4 linked regions of the Saccharomyces cerevisiae S288C genome follow. Changing the gene in region 4 together with the main gene of any one other region gives a genetic interaction. Each region holds a gene or a part of one and is shown on either strand. Other genes may lie near its edges. The genes, in order: YLH47, AFG3, MGR3 and MGR2.

Region 1 (5,569 bases), 420 kb from region 4:
TTCCTTCAGCTAGAGGCCTTTCTGAAAATAAACGGATTCGCCATAAAAAATGAAGACTTGAAGAAAATTGTCGAACATTCAAAGGGAAATCCTATTTTACTTGTAAAGAACCTTTTTACTTATTTTCGTAGGAGAAATGAAGTTTTCAAGCTCGGAACCGTTGTATTGCAGGAAATATTGAAAATCATCGGAATGAATCTTAAGCAGAGATACGGCTCTATATTAGGGTTTTCTTCCCAAGATGGTGAAGGACAAGAAATAGAAAAATTTTGGAACAACGACACAAGTCCGATTGTTCCTCTTCAGGAGCTTCCTGAACCAAACTTTTTCCGCAAGGCCGCATTTTGAACCGTATTTTGCTCGTTCCAGCCTTTCCACGTTTTTGTTATCTAAGCAACTTGGCACATTTCCCTACTATACTACAAACCGATACGTAAATACTTCCCTAAATAGCATATGAATTATTCAGTAATTTTTAAGGATCGAAACTGCACCTCAACTATTCGTTACTGTGGTTATGTTCTCATGTATTGATGCAAATCATGGGATATTTGCTCAAGACGACGGTAAAATGAGCAAAAATGGCACGATCCTGAAAAGAGCACTTTTCAAGATTCGGGCTACAAAATGCAACATAAAAAATGTTGTATTGTCATCTCGAGAGGGTCTTGTATGTTTTATTCCTCTTATGATTAGTTCACATTAGTAAAACAGATACGCAGTGTGCTCTTAATAAACAACTACTCCATAGCTTTATTTGCATAACAAAACTTTTAAGCACAAACTTAAACAGGTGGAGTAATAGTTCGGCGGCGACTCAAATTACATTTGTTGGAAGAATCGAATAGAAAATAAAAAAAAGTGTATTATATTTGACATTCAAAATGGAAGGTATGAATATGGGTAGCAGCATGAATATGGACGCCATGTCTAGTGCATCCAAGACAGTAGCATCGAGTATGGCGTCGATGAGCATGGATGCGATGTCTAGTGCCAGCAAAACGATATTATCGAGCATGTCATCGATGAGCATGGAAGCGATGTCCAGTGCGAGCAAAACGTTGGCGTCGACTATGTCGTCAATGGCAAGTATGTCGATGGGAAGCAGTTCAATGTCAGGTATGTCTATGTCGATGAGCAGTACACCAACAAGCTCCGCCAGTGCACAGACAACTTCTGATTCTAGCATGTCAGGCATGTCAGGTATGTCATCGTCTGATAACAGTAGCTCTTCAGGGATGGATATGGACATGAGTATGGGAATGAACTATTATCTGACTCCCACATATAAAAACTATCCAGTTTTGTTTCACCATTTGCATGCAAACAATAGTGGTAAGGCTTTCGGTATTTTCTTATTATTTGTTGTGGCTGCTTTCGTCTACAAACTACTGCTTTTCGTTAGTTGGTGCCTTGAAGTTCACTGGTTTAAAAAATGGGACAAGCAAAATAAATATTCCACTTTACCTTCAGCAAACTCCAAAGACGAAGGAAAACATTATGACACAGAGAATAATTTTGAAATTCAAGGTTTACCTAAGCTGCCAAATTTATTAAGCGATATATTTGTTCCATCTTTAATGGATCTCTTTCATGACATTATAAGGGCGTTCTTAGTATTTACCTCTACGATGATTATTTATATGTTGATGCTTGCTACCATGTCTTTTGTTTTAACATACGTTTTTGCTGTAATTACTGGGTTAGCTTTATCGGAAGTCTTCTTCAATAGATGCAAAATAGCCATGCTAAAGAGGTGGGACATCCAAAGAGAAATTCAGAAAGCGAAGAGCTGTCCTGGCTTCGGTAACTGCCAATGTGGTAGACATCCCGAACCCAGCCCTGATCCAATTGCTGTTGCCGATACCACTTCCGGAAGTGATCAAAGTACTCGCCTGGAAAAGAACAACGAATCTAAAGTTGCGATTTCCGAAAATAATCAAAAGAAAACACCTACACAAGAAGAGGGATGTAATTGTGCCACAGACTCAGGAAAGAATCAAGCAAACATAGAGCGCGACATCCTTGAGAATTCCAAGTTGCAGGAACAGTCCGGGAATATGGATCAAAACTTACTTCCGGCCGAAAAATTCACTCATAACTAATAACTAGACAAGGTTCGTCCACCTATATCTTCTTCTTCCAATATCTCTATACATCAAAATAAGAATATCGTTCATTTCTCAGAAGCTCAAAAAAAATCTCAAAATGGATACTTCTAATGCCCTCATGAAGAGGAAAGAAAATAATAGACACAGCGACCTTCCTATAAATAACAGACTTGTATATAGTTGAATGTCTAAGTAATTTTAATTCAAAAATCCTTAACTATATTACCACCTTGCAATAATAAGAGTGAAGTGTTAAAAATGATACTTGCTTGCCTTCATCGAGTTACCGTTGTCTCCCACGTTTCTTTTTTCTCGTTGGACAGAATTGCTTCCGCGCGAACATTTTCCACTTTTATTTGAAAGAGGACATTATTCAGATCGTGTCAGTCTCATCTAATTGGCAAAGTGGCAATTTTCGAAATAACAAGATAACTGCATAAAGTAACACTTGTCGAATTGAAAGTATTTTGCCAGTGATATTTAGGTTCGAGTAAAGAAAATTTCATAAAGAAATCAACAAGACACAATGCTGAAATACAGGTCTTTGCCAATCAAGAGAGCAATCCATCATCCGGCACCAGGAATTACTCCAATTTCTCCCCGTATTATGGTAAGCAGGTTGAGAGTAATACCATCTTTTAATTTGAAGTTCAATCGTTGGAACTCTTCGGTGCCAGAAAGCTCGAAAAAGGAGTTAAAAACGACAGACGGAAACCAAGAAAGTGCGAGTAAGGTCTCTCCAGTAAAAGAGAAGGAAAAAGTACCCTTTAAGGTTAAGATGCAAAAAGCCCTTCGTCATTATTGGGATGGTTCCAAACTTTTGGGGTTGGAGATAAAAATTTCTTCCAAATTGCTCATGAAGAGTGCTGCAGGCTACCCATTGACGAGAAGAGAAAATTTACAACTGAAAAGAACTACTCAAGATATCGTTCGGTTGGTTCCATTTGCTGCTTTCCTCATTATACCCTTTGCTGAACTTCTTCTTCCATTTGCATTAAAGTTATTCCCCAATTTACTTCCTTCTACTTATGAATCAAGTAAAAAACGCGAGAATAAACTAGAAAATTTAAGAAACACAAGGAAGTTAATGTCTGAAATCATAAAGAATAACAAGTCCCATTTTAAACCTAATAATATTTCCGAGGAACAAAAAGCTTTGTTTAACAGGTTCTACACACATGTCCGTGCTACAGGAGTGCCGGAGTCTCGTCAACAGCTAATCGAAGTAGCTAGATTATTCACTGATGATACTGTATTGGATAATGTGACAAGACCTTACTTGATTGCATTAGCGAAGTATATGAATTTGCAACCATTCGGCACTGATGTGATGCTACGTTACCGTATCAGATACAAAATGCTTGAATTGAAAAAAGATGATCTATCTATATATTACGAGGATGCAGAACAACTCTCCCTCTCTGAATTGAAAACAGCATGCGCCTCCAGAGGTATTAGAAGTGTAGACGTAGAGCCTAGCGTGTTATATTCGAATCTAAGATTGTGGCTGAACATGAGGCTCAAGGATAAGATCCCATCCACGCTGTTAATCATGGCTACTGCCTATAACTACGGTAATGTGCAATCAAAGGAGTCATTGTACGACGCATTATGTGACGTTTTAATCGGTATCCCTGATGAACTATACCATGAGGTTAAAGTAAACGTCGTTAAGGAAGATGAGGCATCCGCTAAGCAAAAATTGAAACAATTGAGGGAGCAAGAAGAAATTATGAAGGAAGAAGAGCAGCAAGAAGAGAACGCCATTGTGAGCGTCAAGGATGAGTTGAGCTTGGACGACCAAGACAAGAACATAGATGCGGCTGCTCCAGACGTAAAACCGCATGACACCAAGCCTATCGGAGAAGCCGCTGCCATCAAAGAGAAGTAACCCAGTTTTCACCTGGCCCATTAAACCGCACGATACACTCTCCGCTACTCTCGCCAACATTCTTTTTATACATACTTGCACGAAACTGCTTTTTTAGCAATGAAAAGAAAATGTAGTGAACTCTACTATAGATTTTGTACATAAGATAAATAAAATACACTACTATATGAAATTTTTGTTTGTAAAGCTGGTGTTTGCACACATAGATAGTATCAACGTAGGGGATCAACACATGCACGACTACTAGAAGCCTTACCCGTAACTTCTTGCATATCTGCTTTGCCAATATTTTTTTTTAAAGTTATTTCTTAAACTACTCCTCGTGCTGTCCACATTTTTACCCGTTAGTTGTTAGACAAAAAAAAAGCGCAACTATCTCCCTTTTGCGCATCTCCCAAGTCCTTTACCAAATATATTAGAAGAATGACACCCGGCCGAGACGGATGAAGCGGCCGTCTCGGCCGCCTTAGGAAGGGATCTGCGTTTTTGTTCGTTAATGAGGTAATCAAGGGCGTACTTGGTAGAACGGTACTAAGTTAATCATTGCTGCTCTCCCTCAAAATTACTCAAAGAATAGAGTGTCTATTGAACCGTAGAATAGGCATTTATTATATAAGGGGTTGTCAATTTACCAAATTTTTTACTTCATCTCAGGACTCTCTCTTAAAATTATTTTCCTTGCCATTTTCTATGTTATGTAGAATAGAAAAACAGGTACATATTAACTAAAATATACACCAAAAAAAGTAAAAATAAAATGTCTGTCGCCGATTTGAAAAACAACATCCACAAGTTAGATACTGGCTATGGTTTAATGAGTTTGACTTGGAGAGCCGAGCCTATCCCTCAGTCGCAGGCTTTCGAGGCCATGCACAGAGTGGTTGAGTTATCCAGAGAACGTGGGCACAAGGCCTTTTTCAACGTTGGTGAATTCTATGGTCCCGATTTTATTAATTTGTCGTATGTTCACGACTTCTTTGCGAAATACCCAGATTTGAGAAAGGATGTGGTTATCAGTTGTAAAGGTGGTGCAGACAATGCTACCTTAACCCCCAGAGGCAGTCACGATGATGTTGTACAAAGCGTAAAGAATTCAGTTAGTGCTATTGGTGGCTACATCGACATCTTCGAAGTCGCAAGAATCGACACTTCCCTATGCACGAAAGGAGAGGTCTACCCCTACGAATCGTTCGAAGCGCTTGCTGAGATGATCTCCGAAGGCGTTATTGGCGGTATTTCATTAAGTGAAGTTAATGAAGAGCAAATTAGAGCTATTCACAAGGATTGGGGAAAGTTTTTGACCTGCGTTGAAGTGGAACTTTCTTTGTTCAGTAATGACATTTTACACAACGGAATTGCTAAAACATGTGCTGAATTGGGGTTGTCCATCATCTGCTACTCCCCACTGGGCAGAGGATTGTTGACAGGTCAATTGAAGTCAAACGCTGATATCCCTGAGGGTGACTTTAGAAAGTCGTTAAAGAGATTTAGCGACGAGTCTTTGAAAAAAAACCTGACCTTGGTCAGGTTTCTACAGGAAGAAATAGTCGACAAGCGCCCACAAAAC
Region 2 (5,089 bases), on a different chromosome or scaffold from region 4:
ATAGCGAAAAGGACCCAGAAGATGGAGGACCAGCCTGCCTTGTTTGCAGTAAACGTTGTCACGACCAACGACGCTATTAGGAGAAGTATTGAGGCCCAGAAATGTAGGCCACGGAAAAATTTCTGTCTTTGGGCTGTCTTCAAGTACGTGTGGATGCATTCTATCATGGTTTCGTAGTTGGAGTATCTCTGCAAGATCAGCTCTCTATCATGAGTCTTCGCACGCTTAACGGAGGTGGATGGACGGGACTCTGTGCCCTGTGGGACGATGTTAAGGGTGCATGAGTATGCAAAATGGTCAGAGACACTGCAGTCCAGGTGAGGGATCCGTTCAGTGAACCTGACACCTGCGTCTACTGTTTGCAAGAAATCAGGGTCGATAAGAGCATAATCCAACCTGCATGCCTCATCGGGTTGTCTTTGGGCCCTCCATGTGTTGAGCAGCGAATCGCACGTGGTACAGCCCTTAAGCAATTGTTGCAATGGAGACAGACGAGCGATCACCGCCAAGTCTTGCTTCCCATGCAATTGCTCCCAGGAGTCGACCAGGCCGGCCTCCTGCGTGAGAAATTTGTGGGGCAGTGAGCCCGGTCTGGAGTTTAAGTCACCCACCACAATCACCGCATAACCGGCCTGCCTGTAAAGCTTAATGAGCCTGCTGAAATCCCAGGCCTGACAAGATCTGTGGCACAAGTAGGCGGCATCACCCTGCTTGGCGTATGGGGCGTGCATGTGACTGTTCATTATTGCAATGGGGCGGGTTCCTGTGTTCAATACGGTGATTGCTATAGATTTCCCTACGTACCAGTCGCCACGGAACACCGCACTCGGTCTACCGTTTATCGGGAACCGGTAAAGAAAGGTCGACTCTATCGGGACCTTGGACAGTATGGCCAACCCAGGCCCCGTCAGAATACCAGAATGGAACAAACGCTGATACGGATACTTGGAGGCACACGCAGAAGCTAGATACTTCCAGTCTTCCACACACCAGATTTCTTGTAAGGCAATCACGTCGTAATCTTCGTTTTCATTACTATCTCCACCATTGGGCAACAACTCGTCAGATATTGGCGTAAGCATTGAGTGGCCCGCCAATTTATCAGCAATTGCTCTGAGTCTTTCTTTACGGTGTTTGGAGACGTATTTTAACCCCCATGTATTGAAGGTCAGAAACTTTATGGAATACGCTTTACTATTATCGGACATAATTGCGTTGGTCCCGTTCAGTGCTTCAAACTCAGATTGACCATCTTCCTTCCTCTCGTGAACATCTCTGTCTTTTCTGTTGTACATATATCTGCTTTTTTTCCCTTTTTACGCGGAAAGCGCAAATTTCCTCGAAGATTTAAGCCAAACCAAAATAAATCAAACCAAACCAAAACAAAACAAAAACAAAAACAAAAACAGGCTAAGCCGATTCAATTAAAACCGCTCATACGTATACAACACATACACACATACAAGAATGGCCAGCATAGACGCATTTTCGGACCTTGAGCGCCGGATGGACGGGTTCCAAAAGGACGTGGCCCAGGTACTGGCACGTCAGCAAAACCACGCGCGCCAACAGCTGCAACAGTTCCAAGCGGAAATGCGTCAATTACATAACCAACACCAACATCTCATAGATGAACTGCAACGGCTTGCCACCCAGCGCACCGCTCTGCAGCAACAAATACATGCGGCCCAACAAGCTACAAATACCACCAGAGAGCAGTGGAGAAGCTATCACGAGCGTGAATCTGAGTTATCTAGACGGCAGTCGACCTTAGCAGCCCAATCGCGCGAGCTGGACTCGCTGCTGCAACAGCGTGGTAAAGAGTGTGTCCAATTACGCGCACGTTGGGCTGCGCAGTCGGGTAACGATGCCGCAGAGGTCGCACTGTACGAACGGCTGTTGCAGCTTCGTGTACTACCCGGAGCCAGCGATGTGCATGACGTACGTTTCGTATTCGGCGATGATTCACGCTGCTGGATCGAAGTCGCGATGCACGGAGACCACGTGATCGGAAACTCTCACCCGGCGCTGGACCCCAAGAGTCGGGCAACACTTGAGCACGTGCTTACCGTCCAGGGCGACCTCGCGGCATTTTTAGTCGTGGCCCGCGATATGCTTCTGGCATCTTTATAACGCCTTTATACGCATCTGTTCAGTTTATTCTGGGCCTATGATTTAGATGAGGAATAAATTGGTTCTTACTGTCTATACATAACTTTTACAAGGACCCATTCTATATTAAAGGAGATTAACGCAGTCTTCAAATAAAGGCATCATCCACTTATTTTATAATATACTAAGTGATGATGATGTGGCAACGATATGCAAGGGGTGCGCCACGCTCATTGACATCACTCTCATTTGGTAAAGCTAGCCGCATATCAACAGTGAAGCCAGTGCTTCGCTCGCGCATGCCAGTTCACCAGCGTTTGCAGACGTTATCTGGTCTGGCAACCAGAAACACAATACACCGTTCTACCCAAATACGTTCCTTCCATATCTCATGGACAAGGTTAAATGAAAATAGGCCAAACAAAGAGGGTGAGGGCAAGAACAATGGTAATAAAGATAATAATAGCAATAAAGAAGATGGCAAAGACAAAAGAAATGAGTTTGGTTCATTATCAGAATACTTCAGATCTAAGGAATTTGCTAATACGATGTTTTTGACCATCGGATTCACAATTATATTTACTTTGCTCACACCTTCCAGTAACAACTCAGGAGACGACTCTAACCGCGTCTTGACTTTCCAGGATTTCAAAACAAAATACCTGGAGAAGGGTCTTGTGTCCAAGATTTACGTCGTTAATAAGTTTCTCGTAGAGGCCGAATTAGTCAATACAAAGCAAGTTGTATCGTTCACCATTGGTTCAGTAGATATTTTTGAGGAACAGATGGACCAGATCCAGGACCTCTTGAACATTCCTCCTCGGGATCGTATCCCCATCAAATACATTGAGAGATCTTCTCCCTTCACATTTTTGTTCCCCTTCCTGCCCACCATCATTCTGCTTGGTGGCCTTTACTTCATAACCAGAAAAATAAATAGTTCACCACCAAATGCCAATGGTGGTGGTGGAGGAGGCCTCGGCGGCATGTTTAATGTTGGAAAATCCAGAGCAAAGCTCTTCAATAAGGAAACAGACATTAAAATTTCATTTAAAAATGTTGCCGGTTGTGATGAAGCTAAACAGGAAATCATGGAATTTGTTCACTTTTTGAAGAACCCAGGTAAGTACACTAAATTGGGTGCCAAGATTCCACGAGGCGCTATTCTTTCTGGACCCCCAGGTACCGGTAAGACTCTCTTGGCCAAGGCCACCGCAGGTGAGGCGAACGTGCCCTTCTTGTCAGTATCAGGTTCTGAGTTCGTCGAAATGTTCGTTGGGGTGGGTGCTTCACGTGTAAGAGACTTGTTTACTCAAGCAAGGTCTATGGCCCCCTCGATTATCTTTATAGATGAAATTGACGCTATCGGTAAAGAAAGAGGCAAAGGCGGCGCTCTCGGTGGCGCTAACGATGAAAGAGAAGCTACGCTGAATCAATTATTGGTGGAAATGGACGGATTCACTACTTCCGACCAAGTCGTAGTCCTTGCGGGTACAAATAGGCCCGATGTGTTGGATAATGCTTTGATGAGACCGGGAAGGTTCGATAGACATATCCAAATTGATTCTCCTGATGTCAATGGTAGGCAGCAAATATACCTGGTTCACTTGAAAAGACTGAATCTGGATCCCCTTCTTACAGATGATATGAATAATCTTTCTGGGAAATTGGCTACGCTTACTCCAGGTTTTACTGGTGCAGATATCGCTAATGCTTGTAATGAGGCTGCATTAATCGCTGCCAGACATAATGACCCATATATCACTATCCATCACTTTGAGCAAGCCATTGAAAGAGTCATTGCGGGACTAGAGAAGAAAACAAGAGTCCTTTCTAAGGAAGAAAAAAGGTCAGTGGCCTATCATGAGGCAGGACATGCCGTTTGTGGTTGGTTTCTAAAATATGCGGATCCACTTCTGAAAGTAAGCATCATCCCGCGTGGACAAGGTGCTTTAGGCTATGCCCAGTACCTACCACCGGATCAATATTTGATATCTGAGGAGCAATTCAGACATAGAATGATCATGGCTCTTGGTGGCCGTGTTTCTGAGGAGCTACATTTTCCATCGGTGACTAGCGGTGCTCATGATGATTTCAAAAAGGTTACACAGATGGCAAATGCCATGGTTACATCCCTAGGAATGTCACCCAAGATTGGCTACCTGTCGTTTGATCAGAATGATGGAAACTTCAAAGTTAACAAACCCTTCAGTAATAAAACGGCAAGAACCATTGATTTAGAAGTTAAATCTATAGTAGATGATGCACACCGAGCTTGTACAGAATTGCTAACCAAAAATTTGGACAAAGTCGATCTTGTCGCAAAAGAATTGCTACGTAAGGAAGCAATTACTAGAGAAGACATGATTAGATTATTGGGTCCAAGGCCATTCAAGGAAAGGAACGAGGCTTTTGAAAAATATTTGGATCCAAAGAGCAATACCGAACCGCCTGAGGCACCTGCAGCAACAAATTAAAGGGGAAATAAAACGGTGGCTTCTTCATCTCACTTTATATCTTTACCTGATCCCCCTTCCAGGATCCTATCTTATTTTCTCATTCTTTTAGTAATAATATACATGTATATATATATATTGATAACGAGTAATAAAAAAAATAAAAAAAAATAATACATATTCGAAAACAATACTGCTTTTTAGTTCTCAACTTAAAAAGTTTCCTCGTCGATGATCAAGTTGTTGCTCACGCCAACCTCACCTTCGTCGTTCTGCATTATCACATCATGGTTACTACCTTCGTTACCATTGACCTCGCCATTGCTGTTCGCATAGCCGCCCTGATTCGGCACAGTTCCATGTTCACCCAGATTTTTATCATTCAATTCATCCTCACCATCATTCATTTCAAATCCTTCTGCAGTAGCATATAAAATACTTTCCACCTTCTTGACGAACCGTAATAATGCTCCCCCATTTCCATTACCATGGCCGGTGATGGTCTCATCATTAAATTTATA
Region 3 (5,170 bases), on a different chromosome or scaffold from region 4:
GTATGTTAGACTACTTACAAATGAACGAACTTATTGATATTACCAAGAATGAAGTAAGTACGAGATTGGCGAAGGTTGATTGGCCAGGAAGGTTATATCGTATGGATTATCGCTTTGACAAAGTAAGTAATAGGACAGTGCCTATATTAATGGACGGTGCCCACAATGGCTCAGCTGCAGTAGAGTTAGTTAAGTACCTAAGAAAGGAGTACGGAAACCAGCCTTTGACCTTTGTGATGGCAGTAACGCATGGGAAAAACTTGGAGCCGCTGCTCCAGCCATTATTGAGGCCTATAGATCAAGTAATTCTTACTCGGTTTAATAATGTGGAAGGTATGCCCTGGATTCATGCCACTGATCCTGAAGAAATAAAAGATTTTATTTTGACTCAAGGATACACAAAGGAGATAGTGATTGAAAATGATTTACATCAGGTATTGCCTTCTCTGGCGCATGTATCAGACGAGCAAAGACGGCCAATTGTTGTATGCGGTTCACTGTATTTATGTGGTGAATTATTACGGATTCACAATAGTCACTTGAGAAACTAAATAAAATAAGTAACAACGAACATTATATAGACTATCGATGATAAACAAACTAAAAAAATGTCATTTTTTTATTTTTTTCTTGCCTCTGGAGTCTTTCTGGTTTCCCAACATATTTACTATATTTCTCTTCTCTCTGTTTCCCTCTCTTTTGGGTGACAAATTAGCTTCTTCTCTCTTCACTCGGTCACCTATACTTCCTTCCTCTGGTAAAGTTGTTTCCTCTTGTTCTTCATTCTTTTTTAATCCATCATAGGAATTCCTTTTGAGGCTTTTCTTTTGATTAAAAACATCTTCGCCTTTCAACGATTTGTCACCCTTTACACCTCGATTATCAATACCTTGTTCGTTATCATTTTCTAGCAAGGCTTCTTCTTTTTCTCTCTTTACGCTGAACATGTCCGAATCCTCTTTCAAAAGCGGTTTTATCAGCCGCTCTCCGGTGTTGGTAGTCTTCCCCACATCATCGGTAACTTGATAGAATTGTAACTTTGATTCATCGTAGTCCGGCTTCAGCAGCTTTACCAGTTCTTCAGTGCTCCATGTCGTTTTATCCACATCCATCCATGCATCCCAACTTTCGGTGCCTGGTTCCAGCACGCAAGGCATTCTTTCGTGGAGCCATTCTAACTCTCTGGGGCCTTGTGCAGTTATTATGGTGAACGTATATAAATCATCCTTTTCGACGTAATCATACATTCCTGCTACAAACATCAATCTGCCGTCTCGTCTAGAAATGAAATAAGGCGTCTTCTTTTTCCCTACGGTTTTCCATTCAAAATATCCGCTCATAAGCACAGCACACCTTTTCTTCTCACAGGGTCTCATCCACATTTTGCTCTCTTGTAAATTCTCTAAACGGGCATTAAAGGTACGATAGGTCTTGAATTGTGAAACGTCCTTGGTCCAGAATGGTACAAGGCCCCATCTCATAAATTGTATTGCTTTAGTATCAGGACGATATACCGCAGAGTAGTTTGTAGGGGAAATATTGTAAGAGGCCTTGAAGATATCCTTACTAACGGTAGGCTGATCTTTGGTGTCTTCCTCGTCATGTGGATGCTGGCTGTTCGATGAGGCGTCCTTGGGTGTATTAACCGGTAAGTTCCAATCTCTTAGAAGTTGCGGCAAATCTCCGCTATCGTAAGCTAAGGCAAACCTACCACACATCTTGGGTTATGAAAGTCTGGTATTAGCATCAGGTATACTTTAATTAAGTCTCTTGGTTCAACTGTTCATTGCTTTGTTCCCTTTTTTGATCCCTTTCATTCAGATATTTTTCGTGGGGGTTCGGCCTCACAAAATTGCATTTACAAATCATCAACATTTTTATGCAAAAGTGGGCTACTTTCATTTACTCACAAAGGTGTAAACACAAGCAGGAAGATCTCAGTTTAACAGGCTAAAAGTCCCTCCTTTTCGGTATGCTTTTACAAGGAATGCGTTTATCGCAAAGGTTACATAAGAGACATCTATTTGCTTCCAAGATTTTAACGTGGACTACGAACCCTGCTCATATACGCCACCTACATGATATAAGGCCGCCTGCATCAAACTTCAATACGCAAGAATCGGCCCCCATACCGGAGTCTCCAGCAAACTCACCAACTCGACCACAGATGGCACCTAAACCCAATTTGAAAAAAAAAAATCGTAGTTTAATGTATTCTATTATTGGGGTTTCCATAGTAGGTTTATATTTTTGGTTTAAAAGTAACTCCAGGAAACAAAAACTACCTCTTTCGGCGCAAAAAGTCTGGAAGGAAGCCATATGGCAAGAAAGTGATAAAATGGATTTTAATTACAAAGAAGCGTTAAGGCGGTATATTGAGGCGTTGGATGAATGCGATCGCTCTCATGTCGATTTATTGTCAGATGATTATACCAGAATAGAGCTGAAAATTGCTGAAATGTATGAAAAGCTCAATATGCTTGAAGAAGCCCAAAATTTGTACCAAGAATTATTAAGTCGGTTTTTCGAAGCGCTGAATGTTCCTGGCAAAGTTGATGAGAGTGAAAGAGGCGAGGTTTTAAGAAAAGACTTGAGAATCTTGATTAAATCGTTAGAAATCAATAAGGACATAGAAAGTGGCAAGAGAAAATTGCTACAACATTTACTTTTAGCTCAAGAGGAAATTTTAAGCAAATCGCCAGAGTTGAAGGAATTTTTTGAAAACAGAAAAAAGAAGCTCTCGATGGTAAAAGACATCAATAGAGACCCTAATGATGATTTTAAAACATTTGTTAGTGAGGAAAATATTAAGTTTGATGAGCAAGGCTATATGATTTTGGATCTGGAAAAGAATAGCAGCGCTTGGGAACCCTTTAAGGAAGAATTTTTTACTGCGAGAGATTTATATACAGCTTATTGTCTGTCATCAAAAGACATAGCTGCAGCTCTAAGTTGCAAGATAACTAGTGTGGAATGGATGGTTATGGCAGACATGCCACCAGGACAGATATTGCTATCACAGGCAAATTTGGGGTCATTGTTCTATCTTCAAGCAGAAAAGCTAGAAGCTGACTTAAATCAATTAGAGCAAAAGAAAAGTAAAGAGTCCAACCAAGAGTTAGATATGGGAACATACATAAAAGCCGTTAGATTCGTACGCAAAAATCGTGACTTATGTCTGGAAAGAGCACAAAAATGTTACGACAGCGTTATTGCGTTTGCCAAAAGAAACAGAAAAATTAGGTTTCATGTGAAGGATCAACTGGATCCTTCAATTGCACAGTCAATTGCTCTATCTACCTATGGAATGGGGGTTTTAAGCCTTCATGAAGGTGTTTTGGCTAAAGCTGAAAAACTATTCAAAGATTCGATCACTATGGCCAAGGAGACTGAATTTAATGAACTCCTTGCAGAAGCTGAAAAGGAACTAGAAAAGACGACAGTCTTGAAAGCGGCCAAAAAAGAGGGTTTAAACTAATACCACAATAAAGGAAATAAAGGAAGACAAAAATAATAAATATTTCAACTGTACATATGTATTTTCGCAGCAAACAGAAAGCATAGTTTATAGTACCTAATGATAACCTTTCTTTCATTACTTCGAAATCTATGACGATTATATTATACACTAAAATATAGAAATTATTTTCTTTATTTTTACCATTTTAAACATGACCAATAACTAGAAGATACATAAAAGAACAAATGAACTTTATACATATTCTTAGTTAGCAGTCATAACTTGCCAAACTCTAATGACGTTGTCGGTGTAACCGGCAAACAAAGTTTGACCGTCAGCAGACCAAGCCAAAGAAACAGCATGTGGTTCAGCGGCCTTGCTGTAACCAGCAAATTCTGGTCTCAAGTCATCGACCAAGTATTGTGGGTCCAAAGAAAAGACCTTAATACCGGTAGCAGTGGCAGCAGCCAACCAGTATCTGTTTGGAGAGAAAGCCAAAGAGAAAACTTCATCTTGGGCAGACAAAGTGTACATAGCCTTCTTAGCAGCCAAGTTCCACAACATAATTTCACCGTCCTTACCAGCGGAAGCAATCAAAGTTCCGTCTGGGGAAGCAGTCAAAGTGTTGATGTTGGAGTTGTGACCGATGAAGTCAGCTTCAATTTGGAATTGGTTTAAGTTCCAAGCCTGTCATTATATCATTTTTGTTAGTAAGGGAACAAAATTAATTTAAAAAAAAAGTTTCCATTTTGACATAACGAGTAAAGAGAAGAGCAGAGTAATGCTAAACCATTCATCAGAGATCTTGGTGATAATTGGTATGTCTCATTCGGAACTCAAAGTTCCATCTGAAGTAGCAAATATGTTATTACATCATTTGAATGGCATACACAAATCCACTTTTCTTCTTCTACTCGATTGTCATCATATTCTATCATGGAAAGAAAATATATCACATACCTTAACCATTTTGTCGTTACCGGCAGAAATGATGGTGACAGAGTCATCATCAGCTTTTTCGTTTGGAACAACTCTGACTTGGGAAACCCAGTCATTGTGACCCAACAAAGTGGCCAAACATTGACCTTTGATGGTCCAGACCTTGATGGTCTTGTCACGGGAACCAGAGATAATCATGGAAGCCTTCTTGTCAATGTCAACGGACATAACATCGGACTTGTGACCGACGAATCTTTGGTAGGTTTCACCGGTGGCAACATCCCATAATCTCAAGGTCTTGTCCCAAGAAGCAGACAAAGCGTAAGCACCGTCAGCAGTCAAAGTACAGTCTTGGACAATGTGACTGTGACCCTTGAAAGATCTAACTGGGACACCAAACTTTTGGTCGTCACCAGTCAACTTCCAGGAGATCAAAGTCTTATCACGGGAAGCGGACAACAATAGGTTTGGTTGACCAGCAGAAGTAGCCAAAGATGTGACCCAACCGTTGTGACCTTCCAAGGTACCTCTCAAAACTAAAACTTCGTTAGATGCCATTTTTCACTTTATTTACTTTAGTGTGTTATAAGGATTTTTTGGAAAAAAAAAAGAGAGAGAGAACGAGTTAGGAAAACCAAAGGAGCAGTCTTAAATATAGGAAAATTTTCAAGTTGTAGAAAATCCACAATTAAAGGAATAGCCCAATGCCAAAAAAATTGGTCTTACACATCCAAAAAAAAGTTGCGTGGATGAAATTTTTTTCAACAAACG
Region 4 (4,424 bases):
AACTTTAATAATCAACGCAACGGATGATCCAGTTACAGGTGAAAACGTAATTCCGTACAAACAAGCTAGAGAAAATCCTTGTGTGTTGTTATGCGAGACTGACTTGGGTGGACATTTGGCTTATCTCGACAATGAAAGTAATTCCTGGTTAACAAAGCAAGCTGCCGAGTTCTTGGGCAGCTTTGATGAGTTAGTTTTATAAATATGTTCTTAGATAAAATTCCTTACACATAATAATCTGTTCTTTTATTTCTCTATTTACCATCCTCCCCACGCTGTGCTTTCCAATCCGCCGATCCACTTTCTCTACCACGATTAGATGATTTCGAAGCGGCACTGACGCTTTCGGATTTCGTTTCTTGTGTCTTTCCTCTAATCAGCTCTATCTGTTCCTGCTCATCGCGACATGCAAGTTGGTATATCTCGTCATCATTTAACGAATACCTCAACCTCTTCGTTATAAATTGACAAAGGAATTTTAAATCTTCTTCCTTGATTTGATCTCTGGGCAGCTCGTTTTGGAGGATATAGCGTTTACTAACGTCAACAACGCCATCTTTACCGAACGCAATACAGTAACTCATTTTCTTGTTCCAGTTAATTGAATAGATATATGGTTGGTCGAATGATTGCTCACAGGAGTCGACATGAACCCACCTATTCAAAAAATTTGAAAAATATTCACACCAAACATGATCTTCTCTATTCCAGACGTAGCGAACATCTAACCCAAACGACTTCAAAATCAAAGTAAATAAATTGCACCATTCACCGCATCTTCCCTTTCTAGTTTCCAGCAACTTAATTGGATCGTTATAACGAGGAAATCTAGTGATATTTCCGCATCGGTTGCATTTATAGATCTCAACAGTTCCGCAATTGAATTTAGATTCCTCTCCATTGGGCCCTTGACTGCCCAGAGGTGTCATATTTTCTGAAGTGTTCTGGCCACAATGATTACAATCTGGTTTATTGCACCATTTGAAAAAATCTTGTTTGAAGTAGCGAAGCAGCTCCTTTACTAGATAATCCGTGTATATATTTTCCCCCTCTGCATGCCCATCTTTGGCAAATTCCTTATCAACATTTTTATATATTAGATCCAGATCCAATGTCTCCAGGACTATAGAATGCCATGAAGGATTGTCATAGACTGTACAGAGATGTTGACTCTGACCTAGGACTCCTTGTGCGAATTGATTTGTATGGACTAAATTCTGAAACCTTATATTCTCTACAGGTGCAGCTTTCTTGAATTTAGACAGTATGAAATCCTTATACTTAATTAACAACATTTTGGCTATTGAATCAAAATCTATGTTATTTTTTTCGTATACCTCTCCCATTGCTACTCCACCTGTTACCTTCTTCAGGTTGTTTTACGTCTTCTATATCTGTTCCCAACGCATCCTTTTTTCTTCGCTACAATACAAGGAAGATTACACTACGCAAAGTTTCGAAAACATCAAGAAGCATAGAACAGTTGAAACTAGGCAACAGGACTGTTTCAATTACATGATTGAGAATTTATAAGCGCATGAGACCACGTGACCAAGGCTTTTTGGTTTTAGGGTTTACTTACTCGGTACTCCTAATTAGTCTTGCTACATTTTACTGGTTACGCAACAATGACTCTTTCCTGCACTACTGGTGTGTATTACTGCTATGCCCTGCGACTCTCTGGCTGTGGGCCCTCATAGCCTGGTGTGACAGTGAAATGTTCGCAAGTAGTAAAGATGAATAATCGTTTATAATCTTATTTACAAGTCAGTGCATAAAATGATATAATATCACCTCACGCATGCCTATTTTATACATGTACTTTATATACCTCCCTTTTTTTTAACGCATTTCTATTATAAAACACTTCTGCTTTCCTATCCTCAAGATCAGTACTCGATCATCTATCAGGAAAGGAGCCAAGTTAGAAATATTTTCGTTTACTTTAGATTTTGAATGATGCAGATACACGCTTCCCTGGGAAAGTTTTCTTCTGGCTTCTGATACTGAACAATTTACTAGTTTACAAATTAACTTTATTAAGTCAATCTCTCTATCAGCATACTGCAAAATTCTGGCTTTTTTACATAGATCAACTAACTTCGCAGCAGATAAAGTTCCGTCATAACGTCCAAAAATAATATTAGAAAGCGCTTCTGAATCCGATCCGGAGCCAACTCCATATAACATATCTGTGACTTCTTTAGCCAATAAAGTTTGGCCATAACGTAGACTGGGTGATTTGATATGCGTTTCCACAATTTTTTTGATTTCACTTGAGTTTAAAAACGTAAAGATCTTCAAGAACTTGGGTACATCAGCATCCAAAGTATTATAAAAGAACTGGTAAACATCATACGCCGTATTGATTGAGGGGTCAATAAAAACAGCATTGCCTGCACTTTTCCCAAATTTCTCTCCTGTAGCCGTCGTCAACAAGGGCACAGTGATACCAAATGGCAAACCCTTATTCTTTATAGGCTGTATCCTATTGATGAGATCGATACCGGCTGTTATATTTCCCCATTGGTCGTTACCACCTACTTGTATAGTCACATTCTCTTCCTTATACAAATGGTAAAAATCGTACGCTTGTAAAACTTGGTAAGTAAATTCGTTAAATCCCAGACCATTTTTGGTTTGAAGCCTCGAAGAAATTGAATCCCTCGCCAACATAGATTGTACCCGAATGTGCCTACCAAAATCAGCTAAGAAATCCAACATTTTGATGTCTTTCCACCAGTTGAAATTATTCCTTGGTGTATATTTTCCGGAAGGTACATCTTCAGTGAGAGCACATCGGTTTCTGTAATATTCTAGGCCATTTTTGAAAAACCTTTGTAATTGCTGCGAGATGGATGCCACATTGCTTTGCCTAATATCGTTCTCCATAACGTCTCTTTCTGTTTTCCTACCACTTGGGTCCCCAACTTTCCCTGTAGCTCCACCTATCACAGTGACAATGTCGTGACCTTTTACGTAAAAGTGTAATAAAACCATTAGTGGAACTAGATTTCCCAAATGAAGTGACTGAGCTGTGGGATCCACCCCGCAGTATAATTTGATCTTATCGTTACCGTTCAACTTCGTCCGAAGGAAACTCTCTGGCTGTGAGACCTGGGACACTAGACCCCTTTGTTTGAGTTCGTCTAAAATATTATCGCTTCGAGAATCCGATGTGCCCTGTACTTCTAAAGCACTAGGCTGTGAATAAAATCGAGATTTAGGCAATGTTATTGCACTTAGTCCGGAATAAGTCACCAGAGGCACAAGTCTCCTACTACTATTGACCAAATTACTACAACTTCGTAATTCGAGCATGATTCACAATGTCTACCTGTAGATTGCTGTGTTCAATCGGAAACTGGAAATTCTTTCTTAACATTATGAGCCAACCACTTTTTATTTTCTTTTCAAAACTCCCGAACAAGACCAACATTACCAAACAGACTCCACTACTTTTCCATAAGAAGGAAGCACAGAACACCACACAAGATCATATAGCACAAATAGCGCAACAGCTTCAAGTCCAATATTAAGATATAATGCCTCCTCTTCCACAAAATTATGCGCAACAGCAGCCTTCGAATTGGGACAAATTCAAAATGGGGTTGATGATGGGTACTACCGTCGGTGTCTGCACAGGCATCCTATTTGGTGGATTTGCCATCGCAACTCAAGGCCCAGGTCCTGATGGTGTAGTTAGAACACTAGGGAAATACATTGCTGGTTCAGCGGGTACCTTTGGGCTATTTATGTCCATCGGGTCTATAATCAGAAGTGATAGTGAAAGTAGTCCAATGTCCCATCCTAACCTGAACCTACAGCAACAGGCAAGACTGGAAATGTGGAAGCTTCGTGCCAAATACGGTATACGTAAGGACTGAGGGGGAAATTTTGCATATATTTACGCTTCCCCATCGTTTTCTTAAACATTGTTACTTATCTGCTTATTTTTATTTAAGATATCTATCTACCTGTTTATAACTCTCTCAATACCATGTATTTAAGTTCATCACGACGAGGCTTATTTACTTAATATATTTGTATACGTGGGAAATGTCTAATATGTATACCGGTTTGCATCTTATTTTGGGTGGGGTCACTAACGGCAAGACTCATAAAATAAAGTATTCGCTAAGCACTCTGTTATATTTGTAAACTTTGAGAAAGGAAATGGGAACCAAAGCATATAATAGACAATATGTTAAAAAGACGCTCTAATGCTCTCATTACTTTGAGTAGAACTAAATTGTTTCCCATAACAACCGTTGCCTATTACCACAGGCGCCTCCTCAACCAACAACGAAGAGCTGTTTCAACGTCACCGAAGAAAGAAATCAAGAGCCTAGAAGACTTGGCTAATTTGGATTCTTTGGATGGTGTTGATACTGAACTGATACGCGATTTGATTAATGAGCATA

The links.
Region 1: mutations in MGR2 (region 4) and YLH47 together harm fitness more than expected from each alone (negative genetic interaction), as found in Saccharomyces cerevisiae (2 studies listed by BioGRID).
Region 2: mutations in MGR2 (region 4) and AFG3 together harm fitness more than expected from each alone (negative genetic interaction), as found in Saccharomyces cerevisiae (2 studies listed by BioGRID).
Region 3: mutations in MGR2 (region 4) and MGR3 together harm fitness more than expected from each alone (negative genetic interaction), as found in Saccharomyces cerevisiae (3 studies listed by BioGRID).

What each region holds. Positions count from the first base shown.
Region 1 is NC_001148.4:785,324-790,892, forward strand, and holds YLH47 (Ylh47p), read left to right. Parts: upstream 1-2,637; coding exon 2,638-4,002; downstream 4,003-5,569. Other genes in the region: AXL1 (Axl1p), read left to right, coding at 1-348; high-affinity Cu transporter CTR1, read left to right, coding at 885-2,105; YPR127W (pyridoxine 4-dehydrogenase), read left to right, coding at 4,760-5,569. UniProt on the Saccharomyces cerevisiae protein: Involved in mitochondrial potassium homeostasis through the mitochondrial K(+)/H(+) exchange regulation.
Region 2 is NC_001137.3:189,003-194,091, reverse strand, and holds AFG3 (AAA family ATPase AFG3), read left to right. Parts: upstream 1-2,303; coding exon 2,304-4,589; downstream 4,590-5,089. Other genes in the region: ISC1 (inositol phosphosphingolipid phospholipase), read right to left, coding at 1-1,295; kinetochore-associated Ndc80 complex subunit SPC25, read left to right, coding at 1,468-2,133; microtubule-binding protein BIM1, read right to left, coding at 4,781-5,089. UniProt on the Saccharomyces cerevisiae protein: Catalytic component of the m-AAA protease, a protease that plays a key role in proteostasis of inner mitochondrial membrane proteins.
Region 3 is NC_001145.3:495,732-500,901, forward strand, and holds MGR3 (Mgr3p), read left to right. Parts: upstream 1-1,972; coding exon 1,973-3,478; downstream 3,479-5,170. Other genes in the region: FOL3 (dihydrofolate synthase), read left to right, coding at 1-551; YMR114C (putative peptide hydrolase), read right to left, coding at 612-1,718; 40S ribosomal protein RACK1 ASC1, read right to left, coding at 3,725-4,147, 4,421-4,957. UniProt on the Saccharomyces cerevisiae protein: Component of the mitochondrial inner membrane i-AAA protease supercomplex, which degrades misfolded mitochondrial proteins. Together with MGR1, functions in an adapter complex that targets substrates to the i-AAA protease for degradation.
Region 4 is NC_001148.4:363,849-368,272, reverse strand, and holds MGR2 (Mgr2p), read left to right. Parts: upstream 1-3,545; coding exon 3,546-3,887; downstream 3,888-4,424. Other genes in the region: EEB1 (medium-chain fatty acid ethyl ester synthase/esterase), read left to right, coding at 1-202; PNG1 (peptide-N4-(N-acetyl-beta-glucosaminyl)asparagine amidase), read right to left, coding at 255-1,346; ERI1 (Eri1p), read left to right, coding at 1,538-1,744; tyrosine--tRNA ligase MSY1, read right to left, coding at 1,843-3,321; INA17 (Ina17p), read left to right, coding at 4,205-4,424. UniProt on the Saccharomyces cerevisiae protein: Required for cell viability in cells lacking mitochondrial DNA.